Drosophila melanogaster: one gene and its partner. The protein of the gene in region 1 interacts with the protein of each later gene in a biochemical or structural test. Each region holds a gene or a part of one and is shown in the gene's direction. Other genes may lie near its edges. The genes, in order: EndoA and Lrrk.

Region 1 (6,628 bases):
CGGTGACGTGAGCAGCCAAGTATTTGCGCCCCGAAAAGCGTCAAGAAGGCAAACGCCAAAATTTGTAATTCCCGATGGGAAATTTAATAAAGCAGCGGAATGCAAAGCTCGGCCGGCCACATCAAAGCATGTCCTAGGTCAGGAGTCCTTTGGCCTCCCCCCCCCTCCCCCCCTTACCACACACACACACACACACACCTTTGCACCCCTTAAACCAGCATAGGAAATTCCGGCATTAGGCTTATTTAAATTTTATTGCATCTATGTTGGTCGATTGCTAAGCTAGGAAGTATTGGACACTAAGGCAGCCGGAGGACAGGACTAGAATCCTAGGCAGCAGCTGCTCCTGTGGGACTGGCGGTGGCGGCCAAACGGGCCTGCCACTCGTCATCGATGGCCTTCAGCTGGTTCTTGGCCGTGGTCAGCAGAGGCTTGACACAGCGTATCTGCAGCCAGGGCAAAGTGGCGTTGTTGCAGCCACTGATCGACTCCTCCGAGGTGGCCACCACATCCAGGACGCGCTCCGCCAGGTCGGCGGGAAAGTCAGGCTGGGAGAGCAGACGCTCGGCTTCGCGTTGCAGGACTATCGACTGGAAGAATGAGGAAATCGAGGCGCCTCCAAAGGGAGCAGACGGTGCCACGGGAGCGGCTACACCGGCGGCAGCTCCTGTGCCAGCACCTCCGAAAATTCCATTTAGGAAGGGATTAAAGGCAGCCGCATACGGATTGGCGGCGGCAAAGGGATTTCCGGCAAGGGGATTTCCAACAGTAGCTCCAGGGCCCTTACGAGTAAATTATGATAATTCGGTTACATAATAATCCACTTAATGGGGGGGCCCATATCCACAACTCCTCACCTGTGCACTGATGCAGGCAATGCTGGCCGCCAGTAGAACAATTGCGAATTTCATTTCTTTTAATTTATCTGAGTTCACTTGGTTCTCAGTCGTTGGGTTTCGTCTAGACTAATTGCCAAAAGCACAACGGCTTGCGGCTTTTATACGCCATTAAAAACACGGCAGGGAGATCTTATCTCTGATATCTCAACTATTACTACTGCGATTGAACTGATTTACATGTTCATTGTTTGTTCGGTGGTGCTAAGTACCTCTCGGGGGTTATCTGTTCAGATAGAGCCAGAATATATAAAAAAAAAAAAGGTGGTAAAATTGCTACTTCATGCTGTGAACGTCACTGGTTTTTACGATGCAAATGGGGTTTAATTTTTGCCTGGGATATATTTGCCACCTTCTAGAAAGATAAAATTGACTGCTGTGCTACTGGTTATTTTGCGCACAGTTATTTTGGTAAACAGGATAAACATGATATTTTCTTATCCATTCTGAGTCATTCCATTTTTATCTTAGCGTAACATTCATCAGCAGTTATACAGCTTTATTTTTGCTGAGTACGTTTTCTATCAATATAATATATTTATGTATTGTAATGTTAGAATTTTACGCGCCAAACTGTTATTCTAATCTAACAGCTATTCGATTAACAGCATGTACAAGGACAGAGCAAATACAGAGACCGACAGTGGGACCGACCATATTTATTCTAGTCTAATAATTCTGCCAATCAACATAGATTTCAAATTCAAATTTATAATGCATTAACATTATAAGTATTAGATATTAAATGTAAGATATTATGTTAACTGTTTATGTGCTTCTGGCTTCTTAATATAAAATATATATATTACTTTAATTTTTAATATTGTTTTGATATATATATATAACTATCTAATACCCCCCTGCAAAGAAATTAAATGAAAATGTTAAGTTGTACCTCACATCTTTAACATATGCCTAGAGATGAGCGTATCCCGTGTATGTCCGTTGTTGTATGCGAATGATTTTGGTATTTTACGAACCACCGGTCACACTGAATGTTTTTTAACAGAATTATCGATAGTCCCGCAGCTCCAGTGGCTTAGTGCCGTTGAAAATTGTTGTACACAGTCAAGATATTGATTTTTGCGAGCCGAGAGGAAAACGCGACCCCACAGCCCCCGCCCCCTGTGCGCGACCAGTAGTAGTAGTAACGACTCACGGTCCTTCAAACATTACGCAGCCCAAGGTTCTGGAAAAAATCGAAGATTACGAGCAGAGCAACAAAAAAAAAAACGGGGCAGAACGTGCAGAGCAAGCGAAGCGAGTGAAAGTGCCCGCAGTAGTGGTCAGCAAAAGTAGAACTCGAACTCGGGCTACAGTTCACCAAGCCAATTCGAGTTTCCCGACTCGCAGCCTCCACTGAGCGAGCAGAAGAGCCCCGGAAAGTAGCACCCCCAGCGGAGAAGGAACGGAGAAAAGTGCAGTACGCGTAAGTCTTCCAAACGTAAACGTTTTAAAAATAGACACACTCAGCCAGCCAGCCAGCCAGCCAGGCAGTCGGGCAGTCAGTGAGGCAGCCATCCAGTCCATTGATGAAATTGTTGACTTGATGATATTGACATTGAATTTGAAATCGAGTCTCGACTAACCCAACCAACCCGTTCACAGCAACTGCGTCGAGCGCCCCAAGACCAATTTAATCAGAGGAAGAAAACCAGAAGAGACAGCAGCAGCCATGGCTTTCGCCGGACTCAAAAAGCAGATCAACAAGGCCAACCAGTATATGACGGAGAAGATGGGCGGTGCCGAGGGCACCAAACTGGACATGGACTTCATGGAGATGGAACGCAAGACGGACGTCACCGTGGAGCTAGTGGAGGAGCTGCAGCTAAAGACGAAGGAGTTCCTGCAGCCGAATCCAACGGCACGGGCCAAAATGGCAGCGGTCAAGGGCATCTCGAAGCTGTCCGGACAGGCCAAGTCCAATACGTATCCGCAACCGGAGGGCCTGCTCGCGGAATGCATGCTGACTTATGGGAAGAAGCTCGGCGAGGACAACAGCGTGTTCGCGCAGGCGCTCGTCGAATTCGGCGAAGCGCTGAAACAGATGGCCGACGTCAAGTATTCGCTGGACGACAACATCAAGCAGAACTTTTTGGAGCCACTGCATCATATGCAGACCAAAGACCTCAAGGAGGTAATGCATCATCGCAAGAAGCTGCAGGGCCGGCGGCTAGACTTTGACTGCAAGCGTCGCCGACAGGCCAAGGACGATGAGATTCGTGGTGCCGAGGACAAGTTCGGTGAATCGCTCCAGCTGGCCCAGGTGGGCATGTTCAATTTGCTCGAGAACGATACGGAGCATGTCTCCCAGCTGGTCACCTTTGCCGAGGCACTATACGATTTTCATTCGCAATGCGCGGATGTCCTTCGAGGCCTGCAGGAGACACTGCAGGAGAAGCGCTCCGAGGCGGAGAGCCGGCCACGCAACGAGTTCGTGCCCAAGACGCTGCTCGATCTGAACTTGGACGGCGGTGGCGGCGGCCTCAACGAAGATGGCACGCCGTCTCACATTAGTTCGAGCGCCTCGCCGTTGCCCTCGCCGATGCGTTCGCCCGCCAAGTCGATGGCCGTAACGCCGCAGCGCCAGCAGCAGCCCTGCTGCCAGGCCCTCTACGACTTCGAGCCGGAGAATCCCGGCGAACTGGCCTTCAAGGAGAACGACATTATCACCCTGTTGAATCGCGTCGACGACAATTGGTTCGAGGGCGCGGTGAATGGCCGCACCGGTTACTTCCCGCAGTCGTATGTTCAGGTGCAGGTGCCCCTGCCCAATGGCAACTAGGCTATTCCTCATCCTGTTCCTCGTATTAATCCCGATCCCTAAACCAATCCCATCCTATCAAACTGGCTGAAGACGTACGTAGATCGCTGATTGGAGAACAATAACCTTAATTGTTGGTTTCGCCACCAGAGGCGCGAAATTGGGCAGCCCAAGCCGATGCAGAAGCAGGAGCAGCAGAAGCAGCAGCAGCAGCACATAAATGCAAATATATATATATAGTTGAATTAGATGAGCGGGTTACTACGATTACGGATATTACGATACGGCTTAGCTAGCAGCACACAGCAGGCTAAATTCATGGTGGCCATAGAGCAAGCTAACTAAATTTTATGTGCAAAATTATACCAGTTGGCAACACAATAATTAACAAATTAACTACGAGTTAAATTAATGTACGTATTAACTAACTAAATTTACAAGACGTTACGCGCGCAATGCCACTTCCTTGCGTTTTTACCTTTGATTCTCAAACGTCAGCTTTGTTGTTCGTTGCAAGTTGCGAACATTTAGTACTACTTCACACAATAGATCGATCACGTATTAGAACAGTTGGTCCGGCGGCAGAAGCAAACAGAAAAACACTCTAGCTAATTAACTAAATTACCCGTGTAATCTTAATCACGCCCATGGAGGCGCGTCTCTTTTGTCTTTCCACCTGAGTTCTTCTAGCCTCCAGTTTTCGGAGGTCTTTTTATCCGGTCTCATCGTTGTAATTTAAACCAACCTACGCCAATGCGCTCTCTATGCAAATGTCCCTTTATAGGCTAAAGCTACGTATCCACACCATACGCCCGCCCACATGCATATACATATTTATTATATACCCGAAAATACCTACATATACCTACTCTACCTACGTATATTTGTGCAAAAACAATACTCCCCACACTCTATTCTAAAAGGCATACGGAATACCGTTCTTGATGTTCGTTGTTCAATGTAAAGAATAATTCAATTCAATTTTTCGAGGATGAAACAAGCGAAATTTGTATCCTACTTTTTGCTCCTTTTTATGTGTGTTGTTTTTTTTGTTTGTTAATTATATACATAACAACTATATATATATATATTAAATGAAATCAAATATATGTATAAATATATTTATTAAGCGTATTATCTACATGTATATTTATTATTATGTATTTATTATAAATTATACTGAGCAGCAACGTAAACAATATAATGAATATTTAAACGATGATAACAGATAAAAAGTACTAGCGGCAAGTAAATGTAACAGAATCCTCCTAAACAATACCAACCAACAAGCATAATACTAGTTAAACGATTTCCACAAAAATGTTGATAATAATAACTTTAAACGTAAGCAAAATCCAGTCAAGTCAATCGAAGCATAGCAACACTTACGAACCTACTAACGCGTTTACCAACCGCAACTCTAGATCAAATATTTATATATTTAACGAGATAATAATAAACATTCGACGGCAAACCGATAAAATGATTCAAAATAGTCTCATGTTGGCATACAGCTATGCACGATATACATACGAATGTATATACATATATATACTCGTACGTTTAGGAATGATATACACAAGATACATATATATTTACGTATGAAGAAAACCATTGAATTGAAAGCCATGCAACTTGTGTTGATAATAAATTTGTTAAATGCCAAGAAAACATTTAACAGAATTATATATTCGAGTGCGAAGATGAAACATTTGCCTCGTGGACGGACAGACTGCCAGTGCGAACATTTCCAGAGGATACCCCATCTGGGGAGGATCCACCCATCGCCTGGAGACTATCTTTCCACGCGATACACACTTGCCCCACGTGCAGCGGGGCCCGAACTTCAAACAATAATTATTGTAATTTTGCATTTTTGTGTGGGCGGTAACTTGAATAATATATATTACAAGGCATATACATAATAATAATAACTATGCTAAAACTGAAGACCCTAATTTATGCAAACCAAAATTAATAAAATTTAATTTTTAATGTGTCTTTCGTTCAAAGTCATAACTGAGAAACAACAAAAAAAAAAACAAGCAAACGTCGTTTACTCTTTGATATTTCCCATCTGACCTTAAAACCATAAAACGTGCTGCCTGTTGTGTAACACAGAGACTCGAATGCTGCTGGGAATGGGTGGTGGTGGGCGATGTGGGAATCCGGAGGCGCCACCAATAAACTACAACAGAAGCATTGAAATTTTCGATTTTCCACACACAGACACAGGCAGCCGCCAGCACACCCTCCCCTCCCCTATCCCACTGACCCAGTGGGCATGACATTGAAACGTGACGCAGCATCCAACCCCTGATGCCCACGCCTCCAGTCCAAAAAGTGGGTGAGGTCATGCTGCCAGGACACGAGTGTTTGCCAGTCTGGGCTGATGCAACCAATTCAGTCAGTGGGGGAATCTTCAGTCTTCTTTCTTTGCCAATTCTGTTGGCTATTTTTTTGGCATTGCGCAGGTGAAAATCAAGGCAATATATTTTTATCTGTTTGTTTGTAAAAAGCAATTAAAGTTTTCCCTTAATGTAAACTTGGAAATTTGTTCAAAGAACATACATATGTACATACTCTAAACAAATGCTTAATTCTTATGATTACCATTGCTTTTGAAAACATTGATCTTTTTATTAGCCATGCTTAAAGATTAGCAGCTCGCTTCAAAGTTAAACAAAGTTTATTATTGAAAGTATTGTATGTTACTTTTTTTTTATTATTTTAATAAGAATATACATTAATATAATATTATCATTTCTACCTTTTGCAATTCCTATTTGTATGACCGCAACTGTAACGGCATGTGAAGTGAAAAACATTGGCATGGTTGAGTTATCAACCATTGGACATGCGATAAGACAACACACCCAATCTATTGAATACTCTTAGTCAGACCTACGAGAAGACCACATACTCCTCATACTGACCGAGAATCCTGCGCTTGGGCCGCTGCAACGCC
Region 2 (5,158 bases), 1.7 Mb from region 1:
GGAGGCTAGTTGTCCCGCATTTCGCTGGTTACCTTATCAACAGATTGTTGTTTTCAAAGTTTTCCATTTAAATCAGCACGCCAATCTCTCTGCGAATAAATAAGAAGGTGGCGCCGGGTTACTTGAAAGAAAACATATGGCGATATATGTACCGATAATTGTTTTGGTGTCGAATTACGGAAATTACTAAAAATCAACCGCCCACCCGTTGATAAGAAGGCGACCCCTTCCCTTGGCTTTGCCCTCGAGATGATCAGAGATCTGGATAACATCCATTGATGCACTGTAAAACTGAGTTGGTTCTAACCGCCCTTTACCACATGGGATAAAATAGAAAAGCAGCCTCTAAAATCGTCGGTTCTTGTTAATTAAAACAAAAACGCTGACTTTTATTTAGTATGAATCACACAGTCATAAGTTGTTGGCTGGGGGTGGGAGGGGTCAACTTGAAAACAAAAACAAGAATTCAGGGTCAGCCAAGGCGACCTATGAATGCCCTTACGTGTTTTTTTTTGCAATTTTAGGCAGTTGAATGACTGAAGTAAGCAGGATTTATAACGAATTCGATATGGCCGTTGAAAGAAAAGTTTCCATAATGAAAATCTAAGCCATTAAGGCATATTTCAGAGCCAAATGTTCAAATTCCGTGACCGAACGGGTGGAGTTGATACCGCGGAAAGGGTATAAAAAAGTTACGCGGCACCGATGTCTCATCTCTAAGTCGCGATGCCACAAAAATGGAAATTGCAGACAGTCAGAAAAGTCTTGAAAAGCACACGGATTGGCAAGTTTTCATCGAAGTTTCACTTGCATTGTGGCGCAGCTCGTTTGTTTTTGTTTTTTGCTTCCATTTTGGCCAGCCCTCGCCTTTATAGCGATTTTTTTTTGGGTGTGAGCTGCGCAGTTTACGCTGCTCCTTACTTGATTCTCTGCACCGGCACCTTCAGTTGGCCTCTGTCGGCCATTCCGCGGTATTGTTATTTTTCAAACGCACCGTGCAATCGGCTCAAATTTGTGTTCGATTAAGGAATATTAAATTGTTTTTATTTGTATTGTTGAGATCGTGCTGTTAAGCGTCTGTTAACGAACACAGGGTGACTCCTGTTGAACACAGGGCGTTCTAGGCTGGCGCTGGTTAATATCGATAGTGTTTCATTCGATTGTTATATCGATATAGGTTACAGTTGGCATCAGTATTTATAAAATATACACAAATACACGGTGCTAATAAATTCTTGTTCGTAAACAGTCATAACAGGAAATTGCATGTTAAAAAAAAAATAAATAAAAATAATTAACAGTTCCTAAGAATCAAATTCTTTTAGATAAAATCATAGCATACAAAATAAAATTCAACAAAAAGTAACAGTCGATAGTGATTCACTGCTTAACTGATTTAAATAATATCGATATTACTGTTGTTGAGTTGACAAGCAGTGCAAAGTAACAGAAACGATGACCACCTTATCGCGTTTTGGTATTTATATATGTATGCTATCAGAAATGAGATATTTCAGCATCAGTTGGGATTTCAAATATTTCACTTGGGAACAAATTTTTAGATGTGTATGAATAAAAATAATAAATGCGTCTTCCAAATACTTGTTCGGCCTTGTTAAATTAATTTTAATTTATAAATTTAAGCCAATGGACATAAAAATCAATGATTTTGGGTAGATTATGATTTAGTTATTAAGCTGGCTTTAATCTTTGGAGAAAAGTACGAAGCCCCCTGCGTGCGACACTGATTAACAGCATTCACTTGCGATATTTCGGTCACACAGAGCGCTTAACAGCATATCGTGCCAAAATGAGGAGATATATTCTAAAACAGTAAGAGGTTACACTGTTTGTTGACAAAAAGGTAAACAAAGTGAAAATTTCGCAAAATGTGCAAAATAATTAAGTAAGGGTCAGTAAAAGGTGCTACTGGTTAATCGGACCATAACAACTACCCATTTAACACATACCATGCATGACTTGGATATCTCGTGAAGTACACAAACCAAAACAATGAGCGACTCCGACGAAGGTGAGATAACACAACTTTTAGTGAAATTATGCACAATATGCTAGTTTTGCGCAAATTTAGTCAGAGTGCAAATGAGCATTATACGCTTGACTATGCAAATTACCTAAGTGGTGCAATTAAAACTTCAACCAGTTGTTATTGGTTTTTCAACAACACCAGCAAGGGCACAGGGTGACATTGGTGCAATGGAAGTGGGCGCGCAAAAACTTTTTTCAAACAGCCACCCCCCACAGAAGCAACTGGTGCAACCACTGGACCATCCGACACCCACGAAGAGACAAATCAAAACAAATGCCACGCACTCACCCAATGCCACATTCTTGAACAAGTGCAACAGTTGCCGCGCTTCTTGGGCTCCGACTTGCGCAGTGCGACATAAAACGGCCTGGATCAATGACCACAAAAACGTGGCCATCGATTTTCCGCAGTTCAGTTTTTGCTAGCGGCGCGTTCGGTCATCATACCGATGCCAATTAATTTTTGGGGCTTATTCGCACCGATTTGGGTTACATAATGTCATGGAAATTCAGCATGGAACATCCCAAAACTGGAACTGAAACAGCTCTGGAAGCCTGTGACTACTTCGTGGATGAGGTCATTGAGGCATCCTCAATACGGGGTGGGAATTGGTTTATTCCAAAGGTGCTGTGTATTAGTTAACCAAGCAAAACTTATCTTTCACAGATGCCCGCGAGGAAGTGCGTCAGATCAAGCACGGGGAGCTGCGAACGGCAGTGATCTCTGGCGATGAGCGGACTGTGCGGGTGCTGCTGGCAGCTCTTGGAACTGAGCGTCAGATTATAGTCAATATGGCTCCTTCAGGAGCAAACACCCTTCTATTCCTGTGAGAAAAAGTCTTTTAGAATTAGTCCATTTTGAGCCAAACTAATATCGGTCTCGTTTTAGAGCCTGCCAGTCTGGTTACGAGAGCATTACACAGCGATTGCTGGATGCTGGAGCGGATGGTCGCTCCCATGCCGTGACCAAGTACTCACCCTTGTACGCCGCCGTCCATAGCGGTCACTTGGGCATTGCCCGACTGATGCTAGACCATTTTCCAGAACTGATCCAGCAGCCGACTGTAGAGCGCTGGCTGCCGCTGCACGCCGCCTGCATCAATGGACACATCAAGCTGCTGGAACTCCTTATCAGCTACAGTTATCCCGACTACCTCTACCAGACATATCGCGACGAGGAGGGCCAGTGGGAATGGCGGCTCCCCTTCGACGCTAACGCTCATGATGTGACGGGTCAGACGAGTCTGTATATTGCCAGCATCCTAGGAAACAAGCAGCTGGTTGGTGTGCTTCTAAAGTGGCAGCTCCATTGCCGGCGTACGTTGGGCGATTCCGCCAGCTCGGTGAGCACTCCTATTACGCCCACCAGGAAACGTATTTCATTTGGCATTCAGGCTATCATGTCCAAACTGCACATATCTGGAGAGTCAGAAGGACCCGACGACCTAGCTTCACAAGAGTCAACCGAGTGCCAACGGTGTCCCATTAACGTGAATCTGCTATGTGGAGCGGCGAGAGAAACAGCTCTGCTTGCGGCCGTTCGAGGCGGCCACCTAGACGTGGTGCAGTCTCTGCTACAGCACGGCGCAAATCCGAATATTGTAGCCAAGCCAGTTGAGGATCACAACGACCCGAAATGTTGCGAGGAAATATATGGGCTCAGTAATGTCCCCATTGCAGAGGCCTGCAAGCAAAGGTCGCTGGCTATGTTGGATCTCTTGCTTAAGCATGGAGCCCGCGACGATAATGGCACGGCCATTGGAATGGCTATTACATGCGGCGACGAGGCCATCCTGAGTCGTCTTTTGGCCCGACGAGTCCATCCGGACTCAGACTACAAGATCAACAAGAAGGGTCTTCCCACACCAGTGGAGGTGAACGTGTTTTTGCCGTCCACCAGCAACATATCTTACAGTGCTATGTTCCCCAACAATCCAACCATTATTGACTGGCACAGCATGGGCTCCAGTGTCCAGTTGTCTGTTGTAAGGGTTCCCTGGATGGTCAGCGGTGTGTTGCTGCTGAATCCTAAGCTACAGTCGCATCCGCGACTTAATGAGGTTGCTCTGACAGCTATCACGCGAATAGATTTCTCGCACAACGTTCTCACGTCAATTCCACAGGAGCTTTTCCATTTGGTTAGCCTAAGGTTAGTAAAGACAAAGTAATAAGTTTTTCAAGAATTATATTAGTCCTTCATTTAAGGTATTTAAATGTGGCGCAAAACAAGATAACCGATCTACCTGCACCAATAGGCCAGACATATGGGTGTCCGGTACTGGATGAACTCTTTCTACAAGACAACCAGTTAACTACGCTGCCAGCCGCCATCTTTCACCTGCCCGCCCTATCTATATTGGATGTTTCAAATAACAAACTGCAACAGCTTCCCTTCGACCTGTGGCGTGCACCCAAGTTGCGCGAACTTAATGTGGCCTTCAACCTATTGCGGGATCTTCCTGTGCCGCCAATGCAAACTAGCAGTTCGCTGCTGAGCCTAGACAAATTGAATCTGCAATCTTTTGAGGAGCCGCCATCAAACAAACCGCGAAATGTGACTCAGCAACGTCTCACCCATCGCAATCTATGGTCGGCTACTTTGGACATAACCGATAATGACATGAAGTGGCAGCATGAACAAGATTTAGGCGATGGAAAGACAGCTGGTGTGGGCTCCTCCCAGCTAAGTAGCTTAAATATAGCAAATAACCTCTTCACCAGTATCCCCGCTGCTTTGCCCTGTCTGGCTGTAAACCTAACACGGCTGAATATGTCATACAACAGTCTGCGTTCTATGGGACATGTAACCAGTTACCCGGCAACACTTAAGCAGTTGGATCTAAGTCACAACGAGATATCCTGCTGGCCAAGTTTACCGCGAATTACTGAATCGGATCCGCATCTACTGTGCTACAGTTGTGTCCAGCTACCAGAGGGTCGAGATGACGACTACAAGACGGCCTCCTCAAAGGGCAGTAGCTCGTCTGCCACATCGTTTCGCGCTTCGGTGTTAAAAAGTGTTTGTCGGCACAGGCGTCATCTGCGCCTGGAGGCTCTACGCACATTGATCTTGGCTGACAATCTGCTTACGCGCATCCAACTATCAACT

Evidence for each region.
Region 2: of the proteins of EndoA (region 1) and Lrrk, one has a biochemical effect on the other in vitro, tested with the Drosophila melanogaster proteins (one study listed by BioGRID).

Annotation. Positions count from the first base shown.
Region 1 is NT_033777.3:18,904,696-18,911,323, forward strand, and holds EndoA (endophilin A), read left to right. Parts: upstream 1-1,913; 5' UTR 1,914-2,325; exon of another isoform or gene 2,326-2,504; 5' UTR 2,505-2,571; coding exon 2,572-3,681; 3' UTR 3,682-3,755; exon of another isoform or gene 3,756-3,810; 3' UTR 3,811-6,060; downstream 6,061-6,628. Other genes in the region: CG14292 (uncharacterized protein), read right to left, coding at 330-782, 858-911; Sgsh (N-sulfoglucosamine sulfohydrolase), read right to left, coding at 6,565-6,628. UniProt on the Drosophila melanogaster protein: Required presynaptically at the neuromuscular junction. Implicated in synaptic vesicle endocytosis.
Region 2 is NT_033777.3:20,633,625-20,638,782, forward strand, and holds the start of Lrrk (Leucine-rich repeat kinase), read left to right. Parts: upstream 1-1,855; 5' UTR 1,856-2,013; coding exon 2,014-2,032; intron 2,033-2,191; coding exon 2,192-2,464; intron 2,465-2,474; exon of another isoform or gene 2,475-2,563; coding exon of another isoform or gene 2,564-2,651; intron 2,652-2,716; coding exon 2,717-2,876; intron 2,877-2,938; coding exon 2,939-4,198; intron 4,199-4,254; coding exon 4,255-5,158.